Linked DNA regions of Ovis aries. The protein of the gene in region 6 interacts with the protein of the main gene of each other region in a pairwise test. Links are inferred from orthologs where the notes say so. Each region holds a gene or a part of one and is shown on either strand. Other genes may lie near its edges. The genes, in order: CCNG1, TUBGCP4, ATPAF2, INKA1, UXT, PAK5 and PSMF1.

Region 1 (4,044 bases), on a different chromosome or scaffold from region 6:
ATAATTTGCGCCAAAAAAGAAAAATTTATTCTACAACTACCAAGGTTTCTTTTCATTTTAATAAATCTGTTTTTGAATTGAAAGTCTCTTTTTCCATAAATTCGTGTTAGATGCTTGCCTATTAGGTTCTGTAAGTTAACTAGCCTATAAATGGAAAATGTAATGTTAAAAAATTTACCATCTTAAGAATTCAATGACTCCAAGATGCTACTTTTGACTGAATGTCTCCTCACTTTTGCTGGAGAGTAAAGTGAAACTCAAGGGGCTTAGCTGTCATTTTACTTGATTGAAATTCTCCCAACATACTGATTTTATGTAACATCCAGACAATATTCTGGTTTCTACATCCCTTTGTTGAAAACAAAGCTCACATACCTTTCATGTGGCACGTTCTCTTGAAGGAGTGAATAATAGAGCTGTAGAAACTGAAAGGCAGTAGTAGCTCTGACTTTCCAACACACCTTCTCCAATACAATCTTCTCCATTCTCATCAAGTCTGAAACCGTGAACCTGTACTGGCTTATTCGGATCAAGTCAGTTGCCAGTGGGACATTCCTTTCCTCTTCTGTTGATTTTACAGCCAAATAGAAGCAGCTTAGTCCAACACACCCAAGGTGCTTGGGCTGTACCTAAAAAGACAATAAGTCCATCTCTACTTTATTTCATTTAAAAAAAAAAAACAAAGTATAATCAAACTCAGACCCATCACTTTGAAAAATGTATTTGTGAGGTGAATTTCTCAGTGGCAAAGGACTTAGCAAGATTCACTGATGCCTCAACTGCAGGCTGTTAGCCATATGCACCCACTTGGAACCAATTTCTGAGTAAATCGAGTAAGTTTCAGTGTACTGTTTGGCTTCAGCACGTAAAAATTCTTAGTTCTTTTGGTTTTTTAAAATCAAGGAAGAATGATAAGCAGTAAATTACTTGGTCAAAAACTTATATGAGGATTGAAATATCTTACAGCTTATACACAAAGTTTCTTTTCAGAATGTTGTGTTTTTCCAGGCTGTTTTCTCTGTAGTAATACTTGTGAAATGTTTTTAAACTGTGACATATACTGTTCATTCTACCTGTGAAGCTCTATCCACTACCAAGTTTTTAAATTTATCCATCATTTTCTGAATGTCCACAATCAAAATTCTATCCAGTTCATTTAGAAAACTTAATTTTGGCTGTGCTGGGCCTTCCTTGCTGTGCGGGCTCTCTCTAGCTGCGGAGAATGGGGCCTGTTCTTCACTGTGGTGTGTGGGCTTCCCCTTGTGGTGGCTTCTCTTGTTGCGGTGCACGGGCTCCAGGGTGTGCGGCTTCTGGGGTCTAGACCACAGGCTCAGCAGCTCTGGCACAGGAGCTTGGTTGTCTGGCCACGTGTGAGATCTTACCAGACCAGGCGTTGAACCCCAATCTCCTGCACTGGCAGGTGGATTTTTTACCACTGAGCCACCAGGGAAGCCCTCTATCCACTTTAAGTTGTAGCTCAACTGAAGCTTTTAAAAGCTTTTACCAATATTTGGGCTCTCCTCTTCTTAGAACCGCTTCAGCAATATATTTATATTTCTTTTGAAGTATAATGTAATTCTTTTCTTATTATTCCTTGTACTAATGATAGTTATAAGTGCAAACATTACTCCTACCAAGATTATAATATACTTAAGTAACAGATGCATGTCATTCACCTATGACACATTTAGAATTAAAGGTAGTGCCTACACATGGTGTCTAAAAGAGTTATTTAATTAGACTGTTGAACAAGTTTCTTGAACCATTCAACAAACATTGAGTTCTTTCCCTATATGTTGCATTCTGTTAGGTACTTTGAATAAAACATGAGTTTCATTTTAAGTGTCACATTATCTACCAACAATCATGGACACAGAGAAGTCAGATATATTTTTAATAATTAAACTCTGAAAGCTACACAGATGTCCTGCTTAGCCAATACAGGGTAACAACTGTATATCTCCTCCTTCAGAAGATACTCTCTACTATATGCAAACGTAGGCTGGAAATGCCAAGCATAGGCATGACTTAGGTAAATGTAAGGCTAAACCAGTTGGAACTTTATTATATATGAACAAAGATCAAGAAATATACTCTATTGACCAGGTGGTAGACAGCATGAACAGAAAGGAAAAAAAAAAAAACCCTCTAATTTTTAACCCACAATCTAGCATTCTGCCTTTAACACATTTCTTTAAAAACAACAGTAAACAAATGAAAATACCCAAACTATCAAACAAGACTTTTAAAAACAGCCAGCTCTCCTACTGGGAGGCTTTGCAATGATTTGATATTAGACTATTATTCAATGTCAGAAGTTTAATAGCTGATGCATTACTCTTGATTAAAAGGAAGAATATTCATCATGCTATAGTACACAGAATTACCACAACGTTTTGGTTACTTGCTGAAGACAAACCAAAAAAAAAAATGGTCAAGTTATAAATACCAGCCCAAAGCTGGCAATACCATCTCGAAAACACATTGAGCAAAATCACGAAATACTCAGGGTAATGCAGCTTTAAACATACCTTCATTTTAGACAGGAATCTGTCCAGTAAATTCACAGCTAGAGAAAATGTCTCCGTGTCAAAGCCAAAGAACTGAGTTAGACTAAGAAGATCTTTTACTTCAAAGTCCCTCAGTCTCGCAGTCATTCTAAGGCCATTATCATGTGCAGATTCAATTAGTCTCAAGCCGCAGACCTTTGGCTGACATCTCAACTCCTGTTCCAACAGGGCATTCAGCTGGTGTAGCAGTTTCTGAGAGTCAGTTGCTGTCAGTACCTCTATCATCTATATATAGAACAAAGCCCAGAAAGGAGTGAAAGAACAGCCCTTCCTGTCCTGCCAGGTGCCTTATAACACAAGCCTCCCCTCTCTCAATGCTGTTAGTGAATCTCAGTCATTGCCAAGGGCCATCTGTTATTCTCCCCCTCCCCAACCAGTTGGTTACATCCATCCTAAATTGTGACTTCCTACACGGCCTTTTCCAAAAAAAAAAAAAGCTAATCTTCATGCCCAAACTTTGAAATTAGAGGGTAGTATGTATTCTGTCGCTTAGTAACAATGTTGGCTATTCAAGTTAGTCAATTTTTCTTAGTCCTCAGTTCCTAATATGTTAATAGGTTATTAGCCATTTCATAGACTTATGTAAAATAAAGGTAAAGAATCTGCTTGCTATGCAAGAGAAACGAGTTCGATCCCTGTGTTGGGAAGATCCTGTGGAGAAGGGTATGGCTACCCACTCCAGTATTCTTGCCTGGCGAATTCCATAGGGTCGCAAAGAATCGGACACAACTGAGTGGCTAACACGTTCAGTTTCAGGTACACAGGTATCTAGCACATATAATAGGTGCCTAATAAACACTTGGACAATATTAATAAGCTTATTTATAGTCCGTAAAACGAGGCAATATCTGCTTCTTTAAATGGCTGTTAGATTAAACGAGATGATTCAACTAACGAGTTTAGCATAGTGCTAGGCACTTGTTAACTTTTATTAATGTTATGAAAGGAAACTCAGGTGTTAAGAGCACACGCAGTGGGGACAGGAGGCTAATCCATCCTGCAAGAGGAACCTGGGAGTTTCATTAATTTAGGGCAATACTGAACGCCTACTATGCCCCAGGCACAGGATACATGGACAGTCCCAGCCCCCAACAACCGAAAGGCAAGAAGCAGAGCATCTCCAGGGTTGAGCGACGGAAGAGGTGGACAGATGTGGAATCACAATCTCCATGGAACCAACTTTTTCGCCCCCGGGCTGGTGCCTGGGACCACGCCAACTTGACATTAAGACGCCTAGGGAGGTCTAATCTGGCCCCGCCCCTCCAGGCTCGGACTAGCCTGAACTTGTTGCTCGGTCTAGAGTTAACCAAGGAAAAGGGCGCGAGACGAACCCTCCACCCCGGCCCCTTACCCCCACCCCGCGCCCCCAACCCTGCTCCGTAGCTGCACCCTGCAGTCAACCCCGAAATCCCAGCTCACCTTGATCGCGACTGCAGCTCCTCAGCGGTAACCACCCTCCCCGGGCCTGCTCTCA
Region 2 (4,195 bases), on a different chromosome or scaffold from region 6:
TTAAGGTTATACAGTGGAAGTGAGAAATAGATTTAAGGGCCTAGATCTGATAGAGTGCCTGATGAACTATGGAATGAGGTTCGTGACATTGTACAGGAGACAGGGATCAAGACCATCCCCATGGAAAAGAAATGCAAAAAAGCAAAATGACTGTCTAGGGAGGCCTTACAAATAGCTGTGAAAAGAAGAGAGGCGAAAAGCAAAGGAGAAAAGGAAAGATATAAGCATCTGAATGCAGAGTTCCAAAGAATAGCAAGGAGAGGCAAGAAAGCCTTCTGCAGCGATCAATGCAAAGAAATAGAGGAAAACAATAGAATGGGAAAGACTAGAAATCTCTTCAAGAAAATTAGAGATACCAAGGGAACATTTCATGCAAAGATGGGCTCGATAAAGGACAGAAATGATATGGACCTAACAGAAGCAGAAGATATTAAGAAGAGGTGGCAAGAATACACGGAAGAACTATACAAAAAGATCTTCACGACCCAGATAATCATGATGATGTGATCACTAATCTAGAGCCAGACATCTTGGAATGTGAAGTCAAGTGGGCCTTAGAAAGCATCACTGCAAACAAAGCTAGTGGAGGTGATGGCATTCCAGTTGAGCTGTTTCAAATCCTGAAAGATGATGCTGTGAAAGTGCTGCACTCAATATGCCAGCAAATTTGGAAAACTCAGCAGTGGCCATAGGACTGGAAAAGGTCAGTTTTCATTCCTATTCCAAAGAAAGGTAATGCAAAGAATGCTCAAACTACCGCACAATTGCACTCATCTCACATGCTAGTAAAGTAATGCTCAAAATTCTCCAAGCCAGGCTTCAGCAATACGTGCACCGCGAACTCCCTGATGTTCAAGCTGGTTTTAGAAAAGGCAGAGGAACCAGAGATCAAATTGCCAACATCCGCTGGATCATGGAAAAAGCAAGAGAGTTCCAGAAAAAAACATCTATTTCTGCTTTATTGACTATGCCAAAGCCTTTGATTGTGTGGATCACAATAAACTGTGGAAAATTCTGAAAGAGATGGGAATACCAGACCACCTGACCTGCCTCCTGAGAAATCCGTATGCAGGTCAGGAAGCAACAGTTAGAACTGGACATGGAACAACAGACTGGTTCCAAATAGGAAAAGTAATATGTCAAGGCTGTATATTGTCACCCTGCTTATTTAAGTTATATGCAGAGTACATCATGAGAAACGCTGGGCTGGAAGAAACACAAGCTGGAATCAAGATTGCCAGGAGAAATATCAATAACTTCCGATATGCAGATGACACCACTCTTACGGCAGAAAGTGAAGAGGAGCTAAAAAGCCTCTTGATGAAAGTGAAAGAGGAGAGTGAAAAAGTTGGCTTAAAGCTCAACATTCAGAAAACGAAGATCATGGCATCTGGTCCCATCACTTCATGGGAAATAGATGGGGAAACAGTGGAAACAGTGTCAGACTTTATTTTTTTGGGGCTCCAAAATCACTGCGGATGGTGACTGCAGCCATGAAATTAAAAGATACTTACTCCTTGGAAGAAAAGTTATGAGCAACCTAGATAGTATATTCAAAAGCAGAGACATTACTTTGCTGACTAAGGTCCGTCTAGTCAAGGCTATGGTTTTTCCTGTGGTCATGTATGGATGTGAGAGTTGGACTGTGAAGAAGGCTGAGCGCCGAAGAATTGATGCTTTTGAACTGTGGTGTTGGAGAAGACTCTTGAGAGTCCCTTGGACTGCAAGGAGATCCAACCAGTCCATTCTGAAGGAGATCAACCCTGGGATTTCTTTGGAAGGAATGATGCTAAAGCTGAAACTCCAGTACTTTGGCCACCTCATGCGAAGAGTTGACTCATTGGAAAAGACTCTGATGCTGGGAGGGATTGGGGGCAGGAGGAGAAGGGGACGACCGAGGATGTGATGGCTGGATGGTATCACGGACTCGATGGACGTGAGTCTGAGTGAATTCCGGGAGATGGTGATGAACAGGGAGGCCTGGCGTGCTGCGATTCATGGGGTCGCAAAGAGTCGGACATGACTGAGCGACTGAACTGAACTGTTTGTATATTAGGCACTGTGTATTTGGTCTAGCTTTCAAAACTCAGTTTAAAACGTTGTGCAAGCATGAAGATGGGAGAAAGGGCCTCTCTCAGTTTTACATCTAGTTCTCTAGCAACTCTCGCCCAGACACTTTCAACCTTAGGCCTGGTCCGGGATTCCCTCCTCCCCTAAGGCAGAACCAATAGGGATCCACCCTTCGCTTTCCGCCTAGGCCCAACCCTCTCCAGGTGTCTAAACCATCCGTAAGCCCCTAGGGCACAGCCCTCAGGTTACCCGTCCAGGGATACGCCCCCCACGCCTTGGTCCTTGCCAGCCCCGCCTTCTTGCTCCCTCAGACTCCTCCTCCCAAGCGCTGGCTCGGGTCCACCCATTCCGAGCTCGCCAGTTCCCGCGCTCCGAGCCGGATAGTACCTGGAGGCCACTCCGCTTGTTCCAGGTGAAAATGGACCCTGGGTACCCGCTCAGAGCCAAGAGCAGTTCGTGGATCATTCCCACGGCGGACCTCGAGTCCCTATATCCGTCGCGCCCTCCTCCAGGGCCTCAGCTGGCGACCAAGGAGGCGAGCGCTCCCTTCTCTATGCGCGCACAGGTCTCCGGGACGCACTGTTCCTCCTGACTTTACCCGCCGAGACAACTGCAGGGGAGACCGGACGGAAAGCAGCCGGCGCGCCGCGTCCCGGAAGTGCGCCGCGCTCGGCTGGGCCCCCTCGCCGGCGGCAGCCGGTGCCCCGCAAGAGTCGCGGGAGCTGCCCTTGCGCATGCGCCTTTGGCTCCCGAGGCACCCACTCGGACTTCCGGTTTGGAAGCTGGACTGGGAGGCTGGCGAGCCCGGGCTGGAGCCAGACCCTGACTGGGTGAGGCTGGCCGGTGGGCAGAGATGCGAGCGGGTTGAGCGATAGCCTGAGTGGGAGAAGCTCTCAGGTGTGGGCCACAGGGTGCTCTCAGGGCGCCTTAGTCCGGTCGGAGGCCTCCGGAGGGATTCATGACGGCTCCGAGTGACCTGGCCGGAGGGAACGAAAACAAAGAGGCCGGAACCCCGCACCCGCCGCTCCTAGACCTGAGCTCCGCGCTCGCGAACCTCGCAGCCCTCGGAGCGCCTGCCCACCACCCGAACTCGTCCTCAGGAGACCCATGACTACTGCCCCTTCGGAATTCCTCTCTCCACCAACTCAGTGTGACTCTCCCCAAACCCACTCGGACCTCGCTTCAGGAGCCAAAATCAACTTCTCTCAATGCGCGAGGTTTCCCGTCAGTAGTTCCCGGATGTTTACTGAGCGCTTACTTCTGCTGTGAGGGAAAACAGAGACCCAGTATTTAGTACTTGATTTTTGTTTGGGGTGGGAATTGGTAGTGGTGGAGTCTCAGGGAGCGGGGCGGGCTGTGAGGGCCTGGGGAAGGACAGTGGAGAGCAGCTTGCTACCCGCTGGACAGAGGCTTTGTTACCTTCAGCAGAATGGTGACCTGCCTTTAGAACCTTCCGAGCTCCAGGTCTCCCAAATGGTTCGAACTCACTGGTTAGGGGAGCTCAATGGGTCAGATTTGGGGGCGGCGGAAGAGTAGACAGTACTTTTATCCTTTGCTGCTTCTCCGGGCTGCCCTGGATGTCGGCCAGAGATGCAGCCTTTGAATGGCCTCTCACCTTCAGGCTGTTTTGACTTCCTGACCTGAAGCTGGTGCTACCTCAGATGACCACTTGGAGCATATGGGCAGTCAGGCCAGCTCTGGCAAGACCCTAGACATACATTCCTTCTGATAGTGCCATCTCTCTCTGCCCTAGGAGGAAACTGCTTACAGAGACAGACTCATCTGCAGGTGATTCCCCAAGGACATGGGAAGATGGGCCTAAGCCCTGGAACCTAGACCTTTAAGTGAAGGGAAGCTGCTTCCTGCTGTGAACCATGGCCAAACCCACCCTGAGAGGGAATGGCTCTAACTCTGAGGCCTTCCGACAGCGCTTCAGGAAGTTTCATTATCAGGAGGTGGCTGGGCCCCGGGAGGCTTTCAGCCAACTCTGGGAACTCTGCTGTCGTTGGCTAAGGCCAGAGGTGCGCACCAAGGAGCAGATTGTAGAATTGTTGGTGCTAGAGCAGTTCCTGACCGTCCTACCTGGGGAGATCCAGAACTGGGTACAAAAGCAATGTCCAGAAAG
Region 3 (4,121 bases), on a different chromosome or scaffold from region 6:
TACCGTTTGATCCAGCAAGTCTGCTCTTGCGTGTGTGCTAAATTGCTTTAGTTGTGTCCAACTCTTTGTGACCCTATGGACTGCAGTCCACCAGGCTTTTCTGTCCATGGAATTCTCTAGCCAAGAATACTGGAGTGGGTTGCCATTCCCTTCTCCAAGGGCTCTTCCTGACCCACGAATCAAAGCCGGGTCTCCTGCCTTGCAGGTGTATTCTTTAACCCTGAGCCACTGGGGACGTCCTATTTATTTTTAGGTACCTCCTATGAGAAACGAAAACACATTCTCACACAAAAACCTGTATTCAAGTGTTTACAAAGGCATTCAGAACAGTCAAATGATGAAAACCACCCAAATGTTCATCAATGACTGACTGGGTAAATAAGACATGGTGTGTCCCCAAAACTGAATATTACCAGTTATGAAAAAGAATGAAGTACTGACATGCGCTAACTCTAGGACAAACCTTGTGAAAGTGAAAGTGAAGGTGCTCAGTCGTGTCCGACTCTTTGCAACCCCGTAGACTGTAGCCTACCAGGCTCCTCCGTCCATGGGATTTTCCAGGCAAGAGTACTGGAGTGGGTTGCCATTTCCTTCTCCAGAGGATCTTCCGGACCCAGAGATCGAACCAGGGTCTCCTGCATTGTAGGCAGATGCTTTACCGTCTGAGCCACCAGGGAAGCCAGGACGAACCTTGGATATACGCTAAATGGAGAAAAAGACCACATTCCATTTATATGAAATGTCCAAAATAGGGAAATCTATAGATACAGATCTCTGGTGGCTCACAGGTTAAAGCATCTGCCTGCAATGCGGGAGACCCCGGTTCAATCCCTGGGTCAGGAAGACCCCCTGGAGAAGGAAATGGCAACCCACTCCAGTACTCTTGCCTGGAGAATCCCATGGAGGGAGGAGCCTGGTAGGCGACCGTCCACAGGGTCGCAAAGAGTCGGACACGGCTGAGCGACTTGACTTCATAGAGAGTGAAGTAGTGGTTGTCTAGGGCTGGAGGGATGGGGTGGGGCAGGGGGATACTCAGAGTGGCAGCTAATGGGTACAGGGATCCTTTGGTGTCATAAGAAGGTTCCAGAACTGATGGCAGCAGAACTCTGAGTATACTGTGCTTAGTCGCTCAGTATGTCCGACTCTGCAACCCCATGGACTGTAACCCGCCAGGCTCCTCTGTCCACAGGGATTCTCCAGGCAAGAATACTGGAGTGGGTAGCCATGCCCTTCCTCCAGGGGATCTTCCCAACCCAGGGATTGAACCCAGGTCTCCCGCAACAAGGGTGGATTCTTTACCATCTGAGCCATTAGGGACCATTAAACTGTACAATCTAAGTGAGTGAATTCTAAATGCATCATCTCAGTAAGGCTGTTTTAAAATTCTTCAGGGCAAGTGTATCTACCACAGCAATTACTATAAACGGGCCAGATGACTAAACACTTTTCCCCAAAACCGCTCTAGCATCCACAGCACTGCTGGCAAACTTTTTCTGTAAAAAGCCAAAGTGTTTTAAGCTTTGCAGGCCATCCAGTGTCTGGCACAACCAGCCAACTCTGCACTGTAGTGAAAACAGCCTTAGGTGTGTGTCAGTGAATGAGCGGGCCTGGGTTCCTGGAAAACTATTTACAAAAACAGGTGGCAGGCTGGCCTCCCTATCTACAGCATCTCCCTCAATCCAGCACAAGCTGTCTCTTTAGAGGAGGCAGACAATGAGACGCTAAACCACTTGTGCAGACAAGACAACTTGTAAGCAGAGACCCCCAGCTTTGACTTCACCGGTGTACTCCTCAGCTGGACAGGCAGGCTCTCTGAAGACCTTTCTTCTCTATGCAGCTGATGGCTGGGACAGCTGGTAGGGGACTGGAGGCCACACGGGCGACCTCGGAACAGCTCCAACACCGCAGTGACCTTCTCCTCACCCCCACCTTCAGCACAGTACTAACTGGCAGGAAAGAAAGCGTTACTGTCTTCACTCACTTAAAGTCAGTCCCACTCTTATCCCAAAATCTTTGCCTAGGAGTAAGAAAGATCCGCTACAGAAAGCCTCATCCGAGTCGGAAGTGCAGGAAGGGGGCACGGGGTGTCAACTCCTTAGAAGAGGTGGCAGGTGTTCTGGGAGGGCAGCAGGAGGCAGGGCCAGGACAGCTGTGGAGCAAGCGGCCGGGATGGAAGACTTAAAGCCCGAGCTTCAGGCCCCTTCAGTGCCGGTCGCGGGGACACAGAAAGCAGCCTAGCAGACTGGCCTTTGCCCCGCAAACCTCTGAGTCTGCTTCGCGCCTCTAGCGCAATCCCGACCCAGAAGTCGAATTTCCCCGCCTGAAAATAAGGATGACCTCTGCTTCCCCAGTGAAAGAGAGAAAAACCGCACCTGCCAAAAGGAAACGACGCGCGTGTGCCCTGGAGCGATCCCTGCCCTCGCGGGGAACTTCCCTCCCACCGTGTGACCCTGCATGGCCGACCCCTCAGCCTGCTCCGCCCTGGCCTCTCTCACCTGCCGGGGGCACGTAGGCCCGGAAGGGGATAGGGGGCTTTCGCCCCAGCCCCTCGGAGGCGGTGAGGCCACTTCGGGGCCGGTTCAGGAGGCGACGCCCCCCATCCCGCAGCCGAAGGCAGCTCCTCCACATCGCGCGGGGGCCTCAGAGAACGACCGCTCGAAACCAGAGCTCGGGGAAAAGGAGCGGAGGGACCACACGCCGTGTGCTCGAACTCCACAAACCTCCTCACCAGTCGCCGGCACCCTCTCCCTTTTGGGGCGCCGCCATGTTGCGCACGACACTCGTAGCGCGCCGCCGCCGCGCGCCTCAGCGCACGCCGCAGCCAATCAGCATCACAAACGCCCCGGCCCCGCCCCCGCGCCGCGCCTCGGGAAAAAGACTACAAGTACCAGAGGGCCTCGGCTCCCGCCACGTGCTTTCCCCGCCCGCCAATGGGCGGAATCGCCGAGCCAGCCTGATCCCGCCCCTCAGCGCGCCCGAGCCAATCGGAAGGGGTGTGTGTGCGAGCGCAGGCGGGGAGGGGGTTCGCTCAGGACCCGGAGGCCCTGCTCGCAGGTCCCGGGGTCCCGGTGGTGGCCGGAGCGCTCGATCTGCTTGCGGCCGGCGGGTGGACCCCTCCCGCCCTACGCGCGCGCCGGCTTCTCCTCCGTCTGCCCTCGGCTTCCGCGCGGCGGCGGCGGTTCCTCCCCCTCCCCCAGCCCTGGCTCCGGGGGACCCCGCGATGCCGGTCCGCACCGAGTGTCCCCCGCCGGCCGGTGCCTCGGCCGCCTCCGCCGCCTCGCTCATCCCGCCGCCGCCTATCAACACGCAGCAGCCCGGCGTGGCCACCAGCCTGCTCTACAGCGGCTCCAAGTTCCGCGGCCACCAGAAGAGCAAGGGGAACTCGTACGACGTGGAGGTAGTGCTGCAGGTGAGCCGGCGGCCCGGCCTCTCGAGACGTCCACGGACCGGGCCACGCCGCCGCCCCCTGGGGCCCGCGGCCACGGACGGGCCTGCTGCCCGGGCCTGCCGGGGGCCCTCCGGCGCACCCCAACCCTGCGGGCCCGAGCCGGGGACCGGCCGCCTCAGATCCGGCCCTGCCTCCCCGTGGCCTGTCGCCCCGGCAACAGTCTTTCTTTCAGTCCCTCTCGGACCCCGTCCGGGAAACTCTCCAGGGATTCCCTCTGACTCTGGACGCTCCCAGGCCCTAGACGTGCCTGCTGCCTCCCACGTTTTCCTCGGTCCCATGAACCCCAGGCCCTGGGACCCGCCTCCTTCTCCGGGGGTTTCCTCCCCGGCAGAGCTTCATCCGCCTCCTCTCTCCATCAGCCCCGGGACCTGAGGGCCCCCATCCCACCTGGACTGCTGGCCCATTCCTTAGCCTGGGCACTCACATCCTAAGTGGGCTCCTCACAGTCTGTTAGAAGCTGATCTCCTAGCCCCCAACCCATAGTCTCTTCCTGGCTCAGACTCTTGACACTCCCTACTCCCCACCCTCTTTCCACTTCCAGTCCACTCCTGTTCTGTCCATCTGTCTGCCCAGACCTCCCCATCTCTCTGTTCTCCTCCTTCCTGGCTCTAGGGGACCCTCTTACTGTATTTTTAACTTTGATCCACATGTCAGGGCTTCCTTTGTAGTCTCT
Region 4 (3,530 bases), on a different chromosome or scaffold from region 6:
CTCCTAGCTTGGGCTCCTTCTGGCCCCCCAGCACCCTGGAGCCCATGCCAGGACACTCTGTGTCACCACTCACCTATCCAATCTCCCCACCCCCTCCCCCCACGCCAGGGTGACAGAGCTGGTGAAGAAGGAGCCTGGGCAGCGGGTGCTGGTATTGGAACTTGGCTATGAGGGCGAGGAGTATGACACTAACTTTCCACGCTTGCACTACAAGCTGTGACAAGGCAGCAGCCCCACCGCCCAGCTCCATCGGGCCCTGCATCCTGAGCCCTGCGTCCCGAGCCCTGCGTCCCAAGCCCACAGCAGACACTCAATAAACACTTGTTGAAGGAAGGTGTTCAGTGGACAGGACGGGTGATGGAGCAGACACATGGCGTGTGACACAGGCGTGACAAGGACCCCTGCAGGGGAGGGAAAAGGCTCTTTTGATTCGCCTGCCTGAGTTGTGCCTTGCAGGGCTGGCGCTGCCTCCTGGAGCCTCGAGGGGTACAGAACCAGGATTGTCCAGAGAAAGGCCTTTATTGTCCCAGGCTGGAGGGCAGGGTCAGAGGTAGCTGACAACATCATTGCAAATGATGGGCTGCCGACTGCGGCAACTCATGAGGGCTGCAAAGCGTGAGACATCCGCAGGTAGTTCGGGTTCTGGGCGAGGTGGGCATGACAGTCGCTTTCCTGCCAGTGCTGCCCGGCGCGCCCTGGCTAGCTGGCGCCGCAGCTGCTCAGAGAGGCCCAGCAGGAACTGGGGGGGCCGAGCACGCGCACGGGGCCCACCCCCATTGTCCCCCTCACCCGCTGCCTCGGGCAGCTCCATCCAGTTGTGCACCAAGTCCGCAAAGCAATTGTCCCCCAGCACCAGGGGCTGGCGACTACGACCCCTGCTCAGCAGGGCTGTGGTCCAGTCCTCGGCTTCTAGCCCCCGCCAGTGCTCCAGGCAGGCATCTGGGGTGGACTTGGGCCGTGGTCGGTGGACAGGTGGTACCCGGGCCATGGGCGCTCCGCTAGGCTGGGCAACACCACTGGTTGAGAGGCGCTGTCTCCGGGGGGGCCATGCCGAGGCTGCTGGGTGCTGGGGTACGGGCAGCTCTTCCTCTCTCCATGTGCTGCCCGACACCTCTGAGAAGCCAGAGTCCCAGTCCAGGCCGTGCTCCCTGGGGCCCCCAAAGGCTGCACTCCTGTCTCCTGTCACCCCTACTTCGTCATCCTCTTCCTCCACACCACAGACCGAGTCCTCTTCCAACGCATCTGAGGCCCTGAGCTGGTGCTTGAGCCGCACGCCTGGGCGGTGTTTGGGGGGTGGCGGAAGGGGACCAGGCATTGGGGGTGAGCCAGTGTCCCGGCCACACAGCTGTGGAAGAAGAGAGGGCAGAAGTGGTAGGAGCAGTGCTGGTCACTCCGCCCTGCCTGATCAGGCCAGTTCCAAAACAGAAGGCCCAGGAGGCCTCAGCAGCAAGGCCTCTAGCGGGCACCAGGTCGGCATGGGGCGCTGGCACACGAAGCTCGTGTGGCTCCCATTGGCCGACCTGATGGCAGTCCGGCAGGCTGCAGCACGCAGAGCCGGGCAAGTTGGTACCCGCCACCAGGGCGGGAGGCAGGGTTGTGGGCCTGCATGGGGAAGTAGGTCTTGCTCAGGGCTGGGGGGGAACCCTGTGCCTCTTGAGGGATTCAGCTCCCCAAAGCCCGCAGCCTCTTTCAGAGAAGAAAAGAGCACCTTCCAGGAAGACAAGAGGTACACGCCAGCCTGGAATAAGGGGCATCAGTAGTAGCCCCACCACCTTTTTCGTTCCGTAAAAGCCCCTGTTCTGCCCAAGAAGTTTCTCCCCCACAACTTCCTGCGTTGCGCCAGCAGCACGGCCAGCTGGGCGGCTGTTACTTGATGCCCAGCGCAGCTCCCAATCGTCCGAAACCCGACGCGGGCCATCTGGGCCATCTACGCCGCCCCGCCCCCATCCTCTCTTGGATGGGCACTCGGGACAGCTCCCCCCCATCCGAGTGTCGTTCGGGTAGGAAGGCAGCCGAGCACCCCACACTAGTCCTCACGAGCCACGCCCGCCCCCAAGCCTCACCAGTTCCCAGCGCAGCTGGCCCAGGAAACTGTCAAGCCGAGCGCTGTGCATGTCCGTGCCGCAGCCCCCTCCAGGCCTGCCAGTTCCTCTTCAAACTCCAGCAAGAGCGGCGCGGAGAGGGCCCGGGGGGCCGGCCAGCGGCGCCCTTGCCCTCCGCCTGGCTCCGCGGCTCCTCCCTCTCCCCAGCTCTTGCTGCCTCCGCCGCCGCCGCCGCCGCCCCAACATCTGGCGGCCCCGCCCCGCCCCTGGCGCCTCAGCCAATGGGGCTGGGGCGGGGCTGGTGTGGCTCCACCCCCGGGGCCCTGCCGGGTGGGCGAGCCTGACGCCCACTACCCACTCCTTAGAAGCAGCTCTTATGGGGAAGGGCGGGACTGTAGCTGGAAACCTGGCGGGATCCGGCCCGGGAGTCCCCGTAGTCCCGGGCCGTTGAGCTGACTCCCAGGACAAGTCGCACCCCTGCGGCAGCCTCAGTTTCCTCATTTATTCCCAGGGGAAATTTGTGGTCCCTCCCGCCGGGGTCTCTGGAGGTCACGGGTACCGCGGCTGCGCCCTTGAGCGGGTAGATCGGGCCCAATCGTCGGGTTCGGCAGTGCTGTGGCCCTCTCGTGGTCCGACCCACTGAATCCGCTCCTGGAGCTGGCCTCCACCGTCCCTGGAAGTCATGGGAGGGGTCCGGCCCCTCCGAGGATTCAGGGAGCGCAGAACCTCGCTGCAGCACCGGAGAGGAGCCCCGGCCGAGGCCCAGCCTCCCACTCCCGTGTCTCTTGCCTCGGCCGAGCTAAGCAGGGCTGCCCTCTCGTGGGGATTCCCAACACCCGCATCCTGTCTATCCCGGACTACAGGCAGGCTGAGTGAATGCAGGGGATTACCGCAGGGAGTTCTTTGACCAAAGGATTAGAGCCGTTCCCTGAGGTGGCTAGGGCTAGGTTCAACGACACAGACTAACTGGAGACAAACTAGATAAGTCAGTAGACAGGAAAATACCAGGGAAGGCCTAGATATTTCTCATGGTGGTAGTTGAGGGGAGGGGGAGAGGACTGAAGAGGTCAGCAAAACCAGGCTCCTAGCCATTTTAGAAGGGAATAAAGGGTTTTGTTTTTGGTGTGGTGGGGAGCGCTAGAGGGCTTTTGAGCAGGTAATGACCTGGGCTGGCTGCTGTTTAGATAATCGCTGCTTTGGGAGAACCACTCTGCTGTCAAGAGTGGAGGCTCCTGCCTCATCCATCAAGGGAAGGGAGGGCCTGGATCTGGGTAGGTCTAGAGCAAACATACTTTGAGGTATGTTTTGGAGTTAAAATCAAGCCTTGCTGATACATGAGTATGGGAAGACAAAGAGAAGCATGACTCCTAGACTTCCAGGCTGAACTACTGATTGGATGGAACTGGTACGAATCAACCAAGCAAGACTGGAAAAGAGTGGTCTTGGAGAAGAAAATCAAATGGCCATTTGTGGACATGTGGACAGAGG
Region 5 (3,977 bases), on a different chromosome or scaffold from region 6:
TGACTTGAGACGTAGACAAAATCTCTCCCTTTGCAAAGCTTATATCCTAATGGGAGCAGGCAATGAACATTATAAAAAAGTAAATCACACAGTAAACATTAGGAGGTCATAAGTGCTACAGAAAAAAAGAAAAAGTAGAACAAGGGAGGGGAATCAGGAGCGCAAGGGTTGCAATTTTCAAGTTAGGTTATAGGAAGTGACATTTAAGCAAGACTTCAAGTGAATAAGGAAAAAGGAAGCCATGCATATATCGGGGGGAAAGTGCTGTAGGCAGACAGAGAACAGTTACTGCAGTTGTGCTGAGGTGGGATCACTTTGTGGGCATTTAAAGAAGCCTGTGAAGGTTAATGTGATGAGAGCACAGTGAATGAGCAGGAAAATTAGCAGAAGGTGAAGTCAGAGGTAACTTGTTTTACTGTTACTGATTTACAGGCTGAGACCTCCAGGATCTGGTCAAAACTGTGCTGATGTGTAATAGTTATAGCCCTTGTAGAATGTAAGCTTTCAAGGAATTCTTCTGTCTTGTTCATACTGCCTCCCCAACACCAAGCACAGAGCCTGGCATACAGCAAATGCCCAATAAGTTTTTGTGTGAGTGAACAATACAGAGACCATTTATTGAGTACTTATTATGTGCTACACCTGGGGCTAAGCTTTGCATCCCCACTGTTCTCTCCCCTAGAGAGAGGGGAAAGTGGTTCCTAGGTACCATCCCAGGTAGCCAGGGTGAAAGGGGGAAGAAGGATGTTACAAATGGTGTTGTTTTAGACAGTATCCTCATGCAATGGACTTACTCTGTGAGGAGATTGCTCTTACGATCAATGAACTTGAGAGCTTCTGCCAGTGTCAACTCCAGGAAAAAACCATATCCAAGGGCCACATAGATCCGTGAAGTGTCTGGGCTAAGGAAACAGTGGTGATCAGAAGTGGAGAAGTCCTTGTCACTGTTTAGCATACTACACAGTTTAATATTTATTTTACTCCCCATCCTCCACCTTCCCCAAACTGAAGGTCAGGGTGGGCAGATAATTTGTCCTATTTTATTTACTGTCACATCTTCAGCACCGAGCAGTGTCTGGTTCATAGCAAATACTAACAAAAGTATTTGCTGAATGAAGGAAAAGGGAAGCTGAACCCTGTGGGCTCAGAGGGGCAGGTAGATACTCACACCACTGTGTCAACGAAGAAGTTACAGCCCAAATCCACTTGCATATATAACTCCGAGTGATTAGCTTCCTGTGGGGCCAGGGAAAAAGAGGTAGGGATCAGTGGTCAACTTTTAGGTCAGGTGACAGGTTTTGGTCTTGGGTATCTCCTCTCTTCCCCCTCCTTTGCCCACAAAAAGACTACCTAACCCTGGCATCTTTACCTGGAGTCGCTCAATGACATTTCTCAGTTGAAGGTATTTGGCCAGCTGCTCATATACCTTGTCGCGATGGTCCAGGACCTTTCTGATGGGACATGACAGGACAAGAGTAAAATGGTGACCAAGAGGAAACCCTGTCCCTCTTGGAATATCTCACACCATGAACCCCTGAGACTCTCCTGTCACCAGAGTCTAAACAGGAATTTTAGTGCAGAAGTCAAGGTTTGGCCTCTGGGTCAGATTGCTTCGGTTTGAATCCAGGCTTTCCATTTTACTAGCTGTGTGACTTTGGCAAGTGAGTAATCTCTTTGGAACTCAATTTCCCCATTTTAAAAATAGGAATGAGGAGTATTACTTCATAGAGTCATTAGGAGGATTAAATGAGTATTTACTATAAGGCATTTAGAATAGTGCCCTCCAAACAAATTTCTCTATATGAGTTAGCTCTTATTTACAAGTATTATTACACTCTACTCCCAATGCCTCCCTCCAATCAGAATATGACATTCTCACCCTAGAAAAAAATCCTCCATCTCTTTTAGGAGCTCATAATCCTAGACCTGAACACTCTCCTTCCTGCTCTGATTAATAATGATAGTAATAATAATTTTTTATACTCATTGAGCCTCTAGTATCCAAGTTAAACCCTTTACAAGGACTGAATACACTGAAAACACAAACCCACTGCCGTGGGGAAGGCTGCATTAACTTCCCCATTTCACAGATGAGGAAACTGAGGCACAGCAAGTGGAGGCGAAGTATGTATTCACACGGAAAGCAAAATGGTCAAGCCAGGATTCGAACCTGAAAACTCCAGCTTCAGAACTCTAATTCTTAACCCTTTAAGGTCATCGGAAGCCGCGCATGCGCGTACACAGGCACCATTAAATCACCAAGTCTCCCTCCTCACCCGACGCTGCACCCCGGATATCGCCCCTCCTTCCTCCTCGAATGGCGCACGGGGCCGGGCTCTGAACGCCTCACCCACCAATCAGAAGGCCAGGCCCTGACTTCGAACGCCCCGCTCACCACGTGGACCGCTCCAATAGCTCCGCCCCCCGTTCTGTCACTTACTGCAAGTCCCGCTGCAGCACGTCAGAGATGAAAGCCTCGTAGCGCAGCACTTTCTCCGCCGTGGCCTCCACCGCCCGCCGTTTAGGGGGCGTCGCCATGATGGGCTCCTGAGGAATGGGGAGGGAGAAAGACCACGTTGAAGACCACTGGTCTCAGTTTGGTCTCAAGCACAGTGCAACTGCACCTTTTCAGTGTTGGGAGTTGAGTCGTCCGGCTTATGCCGAGGGTTCAGCCTTCCGCCCCTCCCAGCTCTGGGACCCCATCACACAGGGACACCCAAGCGCTGCCGTTACCTGAAAGCCGCCGGCAAAAAGAAGTGTTAGTAAGAACCGTGGCTTCCGGGTGGCGCGGGTAAATGACGTACGGCGGGGGCGCTGGCCAACCAAATAACCAGGGTGGGTGAGGCAGTCCTGAACGGAAAAAAACGCCGGAGAGAAGGAAAGGGCGGGGCTTTAAGAAATCCGCTGATTAAGAAAGGCTGAAGAGCGTGGGAACCTGGACTGCGCAACAAGCCTATGGGGATAGTGCACTGTTGCTGGGGGTGGGGTTTAATGGGATTTGGCGGGTGCCGGAGGTGGCGGTACACACAGAGCGAGTACAGCTTTTGGTGTTTAAAAGTCAGAGCTTCAGAAGCAGCCGGGCAAGAAAAGATTATGAATGTGGTCTGTAAAAAGGAAAGTATATCCTTGCATCGCCCTGGATTTTGAGTTTTCACAAGGGAAGCTTGGGTTTGACTTTCAATAATGGAAATAAATGTCAGCATTAAACATAAGTTTTGAAAAGGAGACAAATTTTCTGATATGCACCTTTGACGACTCCAGCTCTGTAGCCCGCAGTCCATGACTGGAGTTCAAGCAGAGGTTGATAACGCACTATGTCTAATCAGTTCAGTTCAGTTCAGTCACTCAGTTGTGTCCGACTCTGTGACCCCATGAACTGCAGTACGCCAGGTCTCCCTGTCCATCACCAACTCCCGGAGTTCACTCAAACTCATGTCCATCGAGTCGGTGATGCCATCCAGACATCTCATCCTCTGTCGTCCCCTTCTTCTCCTGCCTTCAATCCCTCCCAGCATCAGAGTCTTTTCCAATGAGTCAACTCTTCTCATGAGGTGGCCAAAGTATTGGAGTTTCAGCTTTAGCATCAGTCCTTTCAAAGAACACCCAGGGCTGATCTCCTTTAATGGACTAGTTGAATCTCCTTGCAGTCCAAGGGACTCTCAAGAGTCTTCTCCAACACCACAGTTCAAAAGCATCAATTCTTCTGCACTCAGCTTTCCTCACAGTCCAACTCTCACATCCATACATGACCGCTGGAAAAACCATAGCCTTGACTAGACGGACCTTTGTTGGCAGAGTAATGTCTCTGCTTTTGAATGTGCTATCTAGGTTGGTCATAACTTTCCCTCCAAGGAGTAAGCAAAGCATCTTTTAATTTCATGGCTGATCACGTCATTTAATTGGGGCGTCAAATAGAGGGTTGCTGAAGTCCTCTGCCCAAGATAGGTTATCTTGTCATTAGAAAGAGTTCCTATGTT
Region 6 (3,500 bases):
ACTTATGGAAAGTCAGAGTTATGAGAAAGTGCTCTTGGGAAGATAATACCAGTGACAGAAGTGACAGAGCAAACTGGGGAGGGACCGAACCTGAAAACCTTACCCGGCCATCGCTTGTCAGCAGGATGGAGTCACTCTTTATGTCCCTGTGGATCACTCCTTGGTTGTGAAGGTAGGAGAGAGCTCTCAGAACGGACAGACAGACAGTAGCTATCTGCTCTTCATTCATTCTAGAAAGGAAATCACATTGAAGGAGCTAGGTCAGGTTAAGACCATCTTTGAAATGATTAAGAGAGGTAGCTCCCTTGGGTTCCAGTGAACCAGTCCATGCTCCCCAGTCCATGTCTGGAAAACCTACAGGGAAGGAAAAGGAAGTCTTTGGGACCTGATTCCCAGAACCTAAGGCTTAACCCTAACGATGACAGGGGCCAAGTATAAACTAAAGGAAAGGGAGCCCTACTGGCTGGTCTTTGGGTCATTAGAGCAACTGCACTTGCTTGGACTTTTACAGGTAATTCCCCAGGTACTGACACAACGCCAGGGTCTTGTAGAGAGGACACATTGAATGGAGCTATATTAGTTCCAGGAACGGTTCCTAGGTGATCTTGAGGAAGTCCTCTAATGTCCTTGGGTCTCTTTTTCCTCATCTTGGATATGGGCATGATCATGGTTCTCCTCTTGGACTTCCCTTGTGGCTCAGCTGGTAAAAAATCTGCCTGCAACGTAGGAGACCTGGGTTTGATCCCTGGGTTGGGAAGATCCCCAGGAGAAGGGAAAGGCTACCCACTCCAGTGTTCTGGCCTGGAGAATTCCATGGGCTATATAGTCCTTGTGGTTGCAAAGAGTTGGACACAACTGAGTGACTTTCACTTTCACAGTTCTCTTCAGGCTTCCCTGGTGGCTCAGATGGTAAAGAATCCACCTGCAATGTGGGTAAACCTGGGTTCGATCCCTGGGTTGGGAAGAGTCCTGGAGGAGGGCATGGCAACCCACTCCTGTGTTCTGGCCTGGAGAATTCCATGGACAGAGGAGGCTGGTGACTACAGTCCATAGGGCTACAGAGTGACCAGGCACACTTGCACGCACACACGCACGCGCGCACACACACCATCTGTCTGTATCTATATCCATGTAGGGCTGCTGTGGCCTCTGGCTGTACTAATAGGAATCTGCCAGCTGAAATGCTGGTGATAAATGCTCAGTGTCTTCCCTAGCATCGTTTTGTTTTCAGCTGGTCTACCGCTGACTCAGAGCTGTAGGGGGTCGTGACTGAAACACTGCCTCATTACAGTGGAGAAACAGCAGAAACTCTGCCCTCACATGGGTTCCCAATGCTTTCTTGCTATCTTGCTTCCCCTCTATTGTTGCTCACTTATGATTTGGATGCCATTTCAGTGACATCTGATATAACTCCTTCATGACAATCCTTTCAATTCTTTGGCATTTTATCTACCAGAAGAGCAAACTTAAAGTTTCCTAAATGTACATGATTTTTTTTTTTAACATATATGTTCCTTTGAACCTTGCTTTTCCAAGCATGGTCTATGAACTAACAGCATTAGCATTGCCTGGGGGCTCCTTCGAATGCAAAGTATCACTCTATTCACTATTGAATCAGGATCTGCATTTTAATAAGATCCATGGGTAATTTGTATGCATATTAAAATTTGAGAAGCACTGTTTTAGCACGTACTCTTTCATTTGCTTTCCATGCCCTTTTCTTCCCACTGGCCTTCTTAGTAAACTCCTATGCAGCTCTCAAAACCCATCTTGGACATTGCTGTTTTTCAAAAATATTTCTTGACGCTAATAAAGATATTCAGGTGATCTTCTATGCTACTCATGTACATCTTTCTGATTCTGCACAGGTGTTATAATTTTTTTTATTTTGTACCCCCAGCATTTAGGAAAGAGTCTGGCACATAAACAGTGATTAATATGTACTTGACGAAATGAACACAAGTGGCATATCAGAGAAGCAAGCAGCTGAGGCAACAGGCGCAATTAGCCATCGTTACTTGCAAGGCGATTTGAAACAGAATTGAAGGATCTCTCTCTCTCTCTCTCTCTCTCTCTCTCTCTTTTATGTAGTTTATTGTTAAACTACATAAAACTTTGCTCTTTCACCTGCCCCTGCCTTTCCCAGATACCTTTGGTAGTATCAACACATAGCAAATGGCCTAGCAGCTCAGAAGAATCAAATTCAGTTTTAGAAATCTTCAGTGGGATGGGAAATTCTATTATTTATCACTTAAACTCAATTCTCAGCAGCTTGCTGATTTAAAATCGGTATCAGTGAACTCCTAGAGGGCAGGGAGAATGTGAATTGAATGAATGAACTATACATACATGATATTGTAATAGGCACCTGGGAATACAGAAGTAAGGGCAGTCATTTCTCTGCCTTCAAAGTGCTTACAACTTATGAAGAGTTCATAGAAGCAGTTACTAAGGTCTTACCCTGGGGAAGAATAATAAGCATCGTGAATTATTTGTCTGGATAATAAGAAACTTACCTGGTATGAGTAACGATGTCTGTCAAGGCACCACCTTCTAGGAATTCCATGACCACCCAGAGCTCATCACTAACAAGGTAGCTGTTGTACATGTCAACCACGTTGTCATGGTGATAATCCCGCATTATCACAACCTGGGCAAAATGGAAAGACACTATTTGACTTACGAAGGTGAAATTAAGCTTTTTGTTTTCTTGTGACTACATCTGGGCTGTGAGTTTAATGATAGAGAAGTAATGATGGGGAGGGAGAGATAGATTCAGAAGTCTATTACAAATAAAGGAGCAGTGCTGGGAATTGCTGGTAGGAATAGAGGTGACGTTAGCAAAGTCAGAGAAAACAGCAGGTCAGTGAGACTTGGGAAGAATCAAGAATAAAGACAGGCAGAACCATAGAAGGGTCTCCATTCACAAGAGTGAGGTTAGGTGACTATTCTGGGGGATGCGATCAGATTTCTCAGGTTGCTCTTAAAACCCACTGTGCATGCTCTGCTGTTGGTTAACTGGGCAAAAGGGTCACCAACGCAAAGTAACTGAGTCTCATAAGTGAATGAAATTAACAGTCATTAGGGTTTGGGCCTCCTGAGACCAATTTAACTTCTTGGGAGGTCTGTGTTGAGTCTGAAACAGTTTGGGCTGAATACAAAGGATAGGTCTTGAAGGTAAAAACATTAGGATTTAAGCATAAAATGTCAACTTGTGTCTGCTTGCTAGAGAGAACATCCAGGAATTCCTGTCCTGGGGCTGCTTGTGGTGACACTTTCAGAATCAGTATTGAATAATAAATTATACAGTTATTTATCTAAGTTCATTTGTCCCGTCTGTTCCGGCATTGCAATTTGGAAATAAGTTTCAGAAATCAGGAGCTGTGGATCGGGAAGAAGCTGGGTCCCACTGACCTGGTGCTGTCTGTGAGGTCAGGAGGGTGGGAAAGAAATGAATGCCTATGGGAGGTAGAAATGCACGGAGCTACTGGTGGCTTCGC
Region 7 (4,234 bases), about 57 Mb from region 6:
GGTTCCTGCAGACCAATGGGAAGGACTTACTTTTCTTTTGAGTGTGATGGGAATCCCAGGAGGTTTCAAGCAGAGGAGAGATGTGATCTGGTGTGTATTTTAACAGGATCTCTAGTTGCAGAGTGCAGAACAGACTTTCAGGAGTCAGAGATGGAGTAAGGCAATTTAGTGGTTGGTGCAGACATTCAAGTGGGGGATGATGGTGGCTTGCAGGAGGGTGGTGACTGGGACCGGAAAACTAAATTTATCTGAGTAAAAACAGTAAGTGGTACAAATCAGGAAGAAGACAGTCAAATAAATGACTGACATTTGGAAGTAGATCAGCTCTGCAGTCAGCTGTTGCGTCTTCTTGGGGGAAGCAGCTTCCATTCTCCAAGTGAAAAGTGAAAGTGTTAGTCTCTCAGTTGTGTCCAACTCTTCGAGACCCCTGTGGACTGTGGCTCGCCAGGCTCCTCTGTCCATGGGATTTTTCAGGCAGGAACACTGGAGTGGGTTGCCATTCCTTTCTCCAAGGGACATTCTCAACCCAGGGATGGAACCCAGGCTTCCCGCATTGCAGGCAGATTCTTTTCCATCTGAGCTAAATTTGCAAAATGGGAATGATAATGGAACATATTTCATAAAACATTTGATAGAGTGATATGAAGTTTTTCACCCAGGATCCAGCACACAATAAATAATTAATATTCAAAGAGCCAGACTGCTAGATTGCAGTACCATCTCTACTGTTCACTCATCTTGGTCAAATACACTCTTCTGTGTGTGTTTGTTGCTGTTGTGTAGTCCCTAAATTGTGTTCTACTCTTTTGCGAACCCATGGACTGTAGCCTACCAGACACCTGTGTCCATGGGATTTCCCAGGCAAGAATACTGGAGTGGGTTACCATTTCCTTCTCCAGGGAATATTCCGGACCGAGGGATAGAACCTGCCTCTCCTGCTTGGTAGGCAAATTCTTCACCACTGAGCCACCTGGGAAGCCCCATGTGTCTGTTTACCCATTTGCCAAATGGAGCTATCAAATACCAACTTTATAGGGTTGAGTCTTGAGGATTAAATAAATTAATACAAGCAAAACATTTACAATAACGTTCCATGGAGCAAGCACTGCATTAAGTGCCGACTATTTCTATGAATATGTTTTAATCTTATTTCATAATCTCTTCTCCTACCAGCATACACCCACCCTATTTTGCAGAAGTCTGTGACTCAAAACAAAGGTAGCCTCTCTTCAACGATGCCACAACCTACGTATAGCACACCTACCACCTACAGAGAAGATGGAGATCCCAGCTTTGAAAGACCTCGCTCCCAGGGGTCCTGCCCTGCCCATGTTCTGCCTGGCGGAACCTTTAAGAGTCTTCCTTCTGTTTCCAGCCGGGCGCTCTCGTAAGGGAGCGCGGGAGTTGGAAGTTACTTCCGGTGGCCACACCTCCGCCCCTGGGTGTCTCCATTTTGGTCGCGCAGGTTGACATTAGACCACGACCTGCGGAGTAGCGGAGAAGAGTCAGGAGTATTGTGAGGGCCCTGTCGGCTCACCGCACTTTCTTCCTCCCTTCCTCCGCCCGCAGAAGCCAGGGTCGCCCATGGCTGGCTTGGAGGTACTGTTCGCGTCGGCTGCGCCGGCCATCACCTGCGCGCAGGACGCGCTTGTCTGCTTCCTGCACTGGGAGGTGGTCACGCACGGCTACTACGGCTTGGGTGCCGGCGACCAGGTACGCCACGGAGCCAGGGTGGCATGGGACCATTGTGGAGGCGGGAGGCGTCTTCTGCCCGAATCCGGAGAACAGAGGCCTGGTCCAGAGTGCCCGACCTTCCCCCTTCGCAGGTCCGGGCCCTGAGGCTCATGACACCTTTGATACCTGTAGTCTGCGGCTCAGGGAGGTGCTCTACTGTTGCATTCTAGCTGGCACAACATGATTTGAAAACCCTTGGTCAGAAACGCCCTCCAGCACCGGCTGGCGTTCTCCCAGGCTGAGATTGTGCCCTCTGGCACCGAGACGGGGATAATGAGCTCCCTTGAGCACTCCTCACCTACCCGAACCCCACCGAACTCCTTCACAAGCAGCTGGGTGGGGAGAGGGCTGTATTCAGTACCACCCTCCTACTGTACTGGAGCGTTCACCTGGATCCAAGCACCATATAGAGGGACACCAGTATAGGGGAGCGCTTGGACTCAGCTCCAATCAAGAGCAGAGGGCTCGACACCCTTCACTCTATACTGCAGGGCCCTGTGCTGCCCACTCACCGTTGTCGTCTTGAACTCAGGCTCCAGGCCAACAACCGCCTCCCCAACATGCACCCACATGCATCCTGGGTGTGAAGGCCAAGTAAACTTTCCTTCACCATAGCTGTCCCTACAGTAGCAGCCTCTCCTGCTCATTCTCAGACTCTGCCTCTTACAGCTGGGGGCCTTGTTGCAGGCCCCACAGAGCCCCAGGACTGCCGGGGCCAGCCTGCCTCACTTGATTCTTTGCTGTAGCATTCTCCCATCTTCCCTGCCCCTTCCCTGCGACTCTCCCTCGCACTGTCATGGTACACATCAGCTTCCTGTGAGCACTGACTTGGACCCCTTCCTGCACAGATCCTGTCAGCGGAGACACTTTGACAGCTTAGAGACCTCAGTCCGTGTGGATCATTGCCTGCTCTTAACCGCCACCTTTCCCCTGTCGTGTACTCCAGGCTTCCAGGTTTTAAGAAAGAACATGATTTGGTCTAAAAAAAAGATCCCTGACTGAATCTCAGAGGTGCACACTGTTTACCTTGCCACGTGTTGAGTTAATGCAAAACAAAAAGTTGCTGGCTCCAGACCTCTTGGGGGAGGCCCCAGGAGAGTGCAGATGGGGCTCTGGAAAGCATTGCCCACTGTCCATCTGTCCACCCCAGTGTTAGGTCAAGCATGTGCCCCTGGGGGATGGGTGTTTGTGTTGTACACTAGAGCATGGTGTATTTCTGCTTCTCTCTGCCCTTAAATGCTTCTGGGGCTCAGGTTGTGCTTGTCCTCCTCTCACTTCTGTGTTTACTTTCATTCAGAATAGAAGCCTTTTGGAGGAGTATCTTTCCTATTAGTTTATTCAGGAGAGGTTTTAGTTTTCCAGCATGGGGCCAGCAGACTCAGCTGACACCAGCAGTGTTTGCAGAGTTCAGAGACTGTTTGTCTGAAGCTCCACCCTTCTAGGGGTGATAAGAGAGAGAGGAAGGTCCTAAAATTGTCTACTTGATCATTTACTATGTTGACAGTTAAATAGAAAGCTAAATTGTCTCCTTTTGTCTTTGGTTCTGTATTCTCTCGTTCAGGAAAATTGTGTACATAAAACTTGATTAGAAGAACAATGCATTTTCAATCAAAAATTCAGTATGGAGTTTGGATTTCTCTCTTGAAGTCAGCACCACACCTCGTAAGAACTTTACAGCTCTGTCAGGTGGTTTAGGTGGCCAGGGAATAGAGATGGCCATAGGCTTGAGTTCGAGGATTTAGTGTTTTGTTGTAGGAATCTAAAGATTATGACAAAAGAGGAAAATGCCTGAAACGATCTTTTTGAGACACATTTTAGCCGAGGGATACTGGGATGGACTCACCTCCATTAAAGAATACTTCCAGCCCCAGGATTTTGCCTAAGGGGACAGCTATTTTTACTTTGTGAGGTGGGCATCTTTAGCCATAACACAGGCAACCAGGAGCTCTGAATGCCAAACCCAGCTCTGCACCTGACTTACCATGACCTTGGGCAAGTGTCAGCTCCCTCTTGTTGTTTAGTTGTTAAGTCATGTCCGACTCAGCTACCCCATGGACTGTAGCCTGCTGGGCCCCTCTGTCCATGGGATACCCCAGGCAAGAATACTGGAGTGGGTTGCCATAGCCCCCTCTTAGCTCTTAGATTGTTTTCATCCAAGCCAGTTAAACTACACAACTATGTACTTTGGCTACTTTCCAGTTGTAGCTCTTTGGGAGGTCTGATATTGATGTCCTGGTCTAGAAGGCAGTTGAATGCCATGTTTGATTTGATATCACCAAGGCCAGTCTCTTTTCAGTCCCACCTTTTTTCCAGTATCAGGGCAGGCACTGAGCTGGGGAACACTGGTTCTGCTGCAGTGAGAGGTATCAGCCGCGCCAGACCCCAGTAGTGTCTCTTGCTCTGGAAGCCAGATGTTACAGGGCAGTGAGCAGGCCCAGTTATATATATTCCAAGAAGAAATTCTGGTGGGTTGAATGCTGTACATGGAGAGTATAAATAT

Evidence for each region.
Region 1: the proteins of PAK5 (region 6) and CCNG1 interact in binary tests that used the Homo sapiens proteins (3 or more experiments, as listed by UniProt). The two-hybrid records come from large-scale screens. The link is inferred for Ovis aries from reciprocal best matches to the Homo sapiens genes PAK5 and CCNG1.
Region 2: the proteins of PAK5 (region 6) and TUBGCP4 interact in a two-hybrid assay, tested with the Homo sapiens proteins (2 studies listed by BioGRID and IntAct). The two-hybrid records come from large-scale screens. The link is inferred for Ovis aries from reciprocal best matches to the Homo sapiens genes PAK5 and TUBGCP4.
Region 3: the proteins of PAK5 (region 6) and ATPAF2 interact in binary tests that used the Homo sapiens proteins (3 or more experiments, as listed by UniProt). The two-hybrid records come from large-scale screens. The link is inferred for Ovis aries from reciprocal best matches to the Homo sapiens genes PAK5 and ATPAF2.
Region 4: the proteins of PAK5 (region 6) and INKA1 interact in binary tests that used the Homo sapiens proteins (3 or more experiments, as listed by UniProt). The two-hybrid records come from large-scale screens. The link is inferred for Ovis aries from reciprocal best matches to the Homo sapiens genes PAK5 and INKA1.
Region 5: the proteins of PAK5 (region 6) and UXT interact in binary tests that used the Homo sapiens proteins (3 or more experiments, as listed by UniProt). The two-hybrid records come from large-scale screens. The link is inferred for Ovis aries from reciprocal best matches to the Homo sapiens genes PAK5 and UXT.
Region 7: the proteins of PAK5 (region 6) and PSMF1 interact in binary tests that used the Homo sapiens proteins (3 or more experiments, as listed by UniProt). The two-hybrid records come from large-scale screens. The link is inferred for Ovis aries from reciprocal best matches to the Homo sapiens genes PAK5 and PSMF1.

Annotation. Positions count from the first base shown.
Region 1 is NC_056058.1:72,691,151-72,695,194, reverse strand, and holds the start of CCNG1 (cyclin-G1), read right to left. Parts: upstream 2,801-4,044; 5' UTR 2,796-2,800; coding exon 2,532-2,795; intron 630-2,531; coding exon 376-629; intron 1-375. UniProt on the Homo sapiens protein: May play a role in growth regulation. Is associated with G2/M phase arrest in response to DNA damage. May be an intermediate by which p53 mediates its role as an inhibitor of cellular proliferation.
Region 2 is NC_056071.1:52,949,140-52,953,334, reverse strand, and holds the start of TUBGCP4 (gamma-tubulin complex component 4), read right to left. Parts: upstream 2,801-4,195; 5' UTR 2,536-2,800; coding exon 2,458-2,535; intron 1-2,457. Other genes in the region: ZSCAN29 (zinc finger and SCAN domain-containing protein 29), read left to right, coding at 3,945-4,195. UniProt on the Homo sapiens protein: Component of the gamma-tubulin ring complex (gTuRC) which mediates microtubule nucleation.
Region 3 is NC_056064.1:34,270,626-34,274,746, reverse strand, and holds the start of ATPAF2 (ATP synthase mitochondrial F1 complex assembly factor 2), read right to left. Parts: upstream 2,801-4,121; 5' UTR 2,629-2,800; coding exon 2,496-2,628; intron 1-2,495. Other genes in the region: GID4 (glucose-induced degradation protein 4 homolog), read left to right, coding at 3,221-3,409. UniProt on the Homo sapiens protein: Plays a role in the assembly of the F1 component of the mitochondrial ATP synthase (ATPase).
Region 4 is NC_056072.1:50,476,862-50,480,391, forward strand, and holds INKA1 (PAK4-inhibitor INKA1), read right to left. Parts: upstream 2,229-3,530; 5' UTR 2,115-2,228; coding exon 2,064-2,114; intron 1,346-2,063; coding exon 545-1,345; 3' UTR 501-544; downstream 1-500. Other genes in the region: UBA7 (ubiquitin-like modifier-activating enzyme 7), read left to right, coding at 109-220. UniProt on the Homo sapiens protein: Inhibitor of the serine/threonine-protein kinase PAK4. Acts by binding PAK4 in a substrate-like manner, inhibiting the protein kinase activity.
Region 5 is NC_056080.1:57,168,937-57,172,913, reverse strand, and holds the start of UXT (protein UXT), read right to left. Parts: upstream 2,801-3,977; 5' UTR 2,734-2,800; intron 2,548-2,733; 5' UTR 2,539-2,547; coding exon 2,441-2,538; intron 1,452-2,440; coding exon 1,370-1,451; intron 1,237-1,369; coding exon 1,169-1,236; intron 903-1,168; coding exon 795-902; intron 135-794; exon of another isoform or gene 1-134. UniProt on the Homo sapiens protein: Involved in gene transcription regulation. Acts in concert with the corepressor URI1 to regulate androgen receptor AR-mediated transcription. Together with URI1, associates with chromatin to the NKX3-1 promoter region.
Region 6 is NC_056066.1:2,412,651-2,416,150, forward strand, and holds part of PAK5 (serine/threonine-protein kinase PAK 5), read right to left. Parts: intron 2,651-3,500; coding exon 2,517-2,650; intron 231-2,516; coding exon 104-230; intron 1-103.
Region 7 is NC_056066.1:59,660,170-59,664,403, reverse strand, and holds the start of PSMF1 (proteasome inhibitor PI31 subunit), read left to right. Parts: upstream 1-1,434; 5' UTR 1,435-1,584; coding exon 1,585-1,713; intron 1,714-4,234. UniProt on the Homo sapiens protein: Plays an important role in control of proteasome function. Inhibits the hydrolysis of protein and peptide substrates by the 20S proteasome. Also inhibits the activation of the proteasome by the proteasome regulatory proteins PA700 and PA28.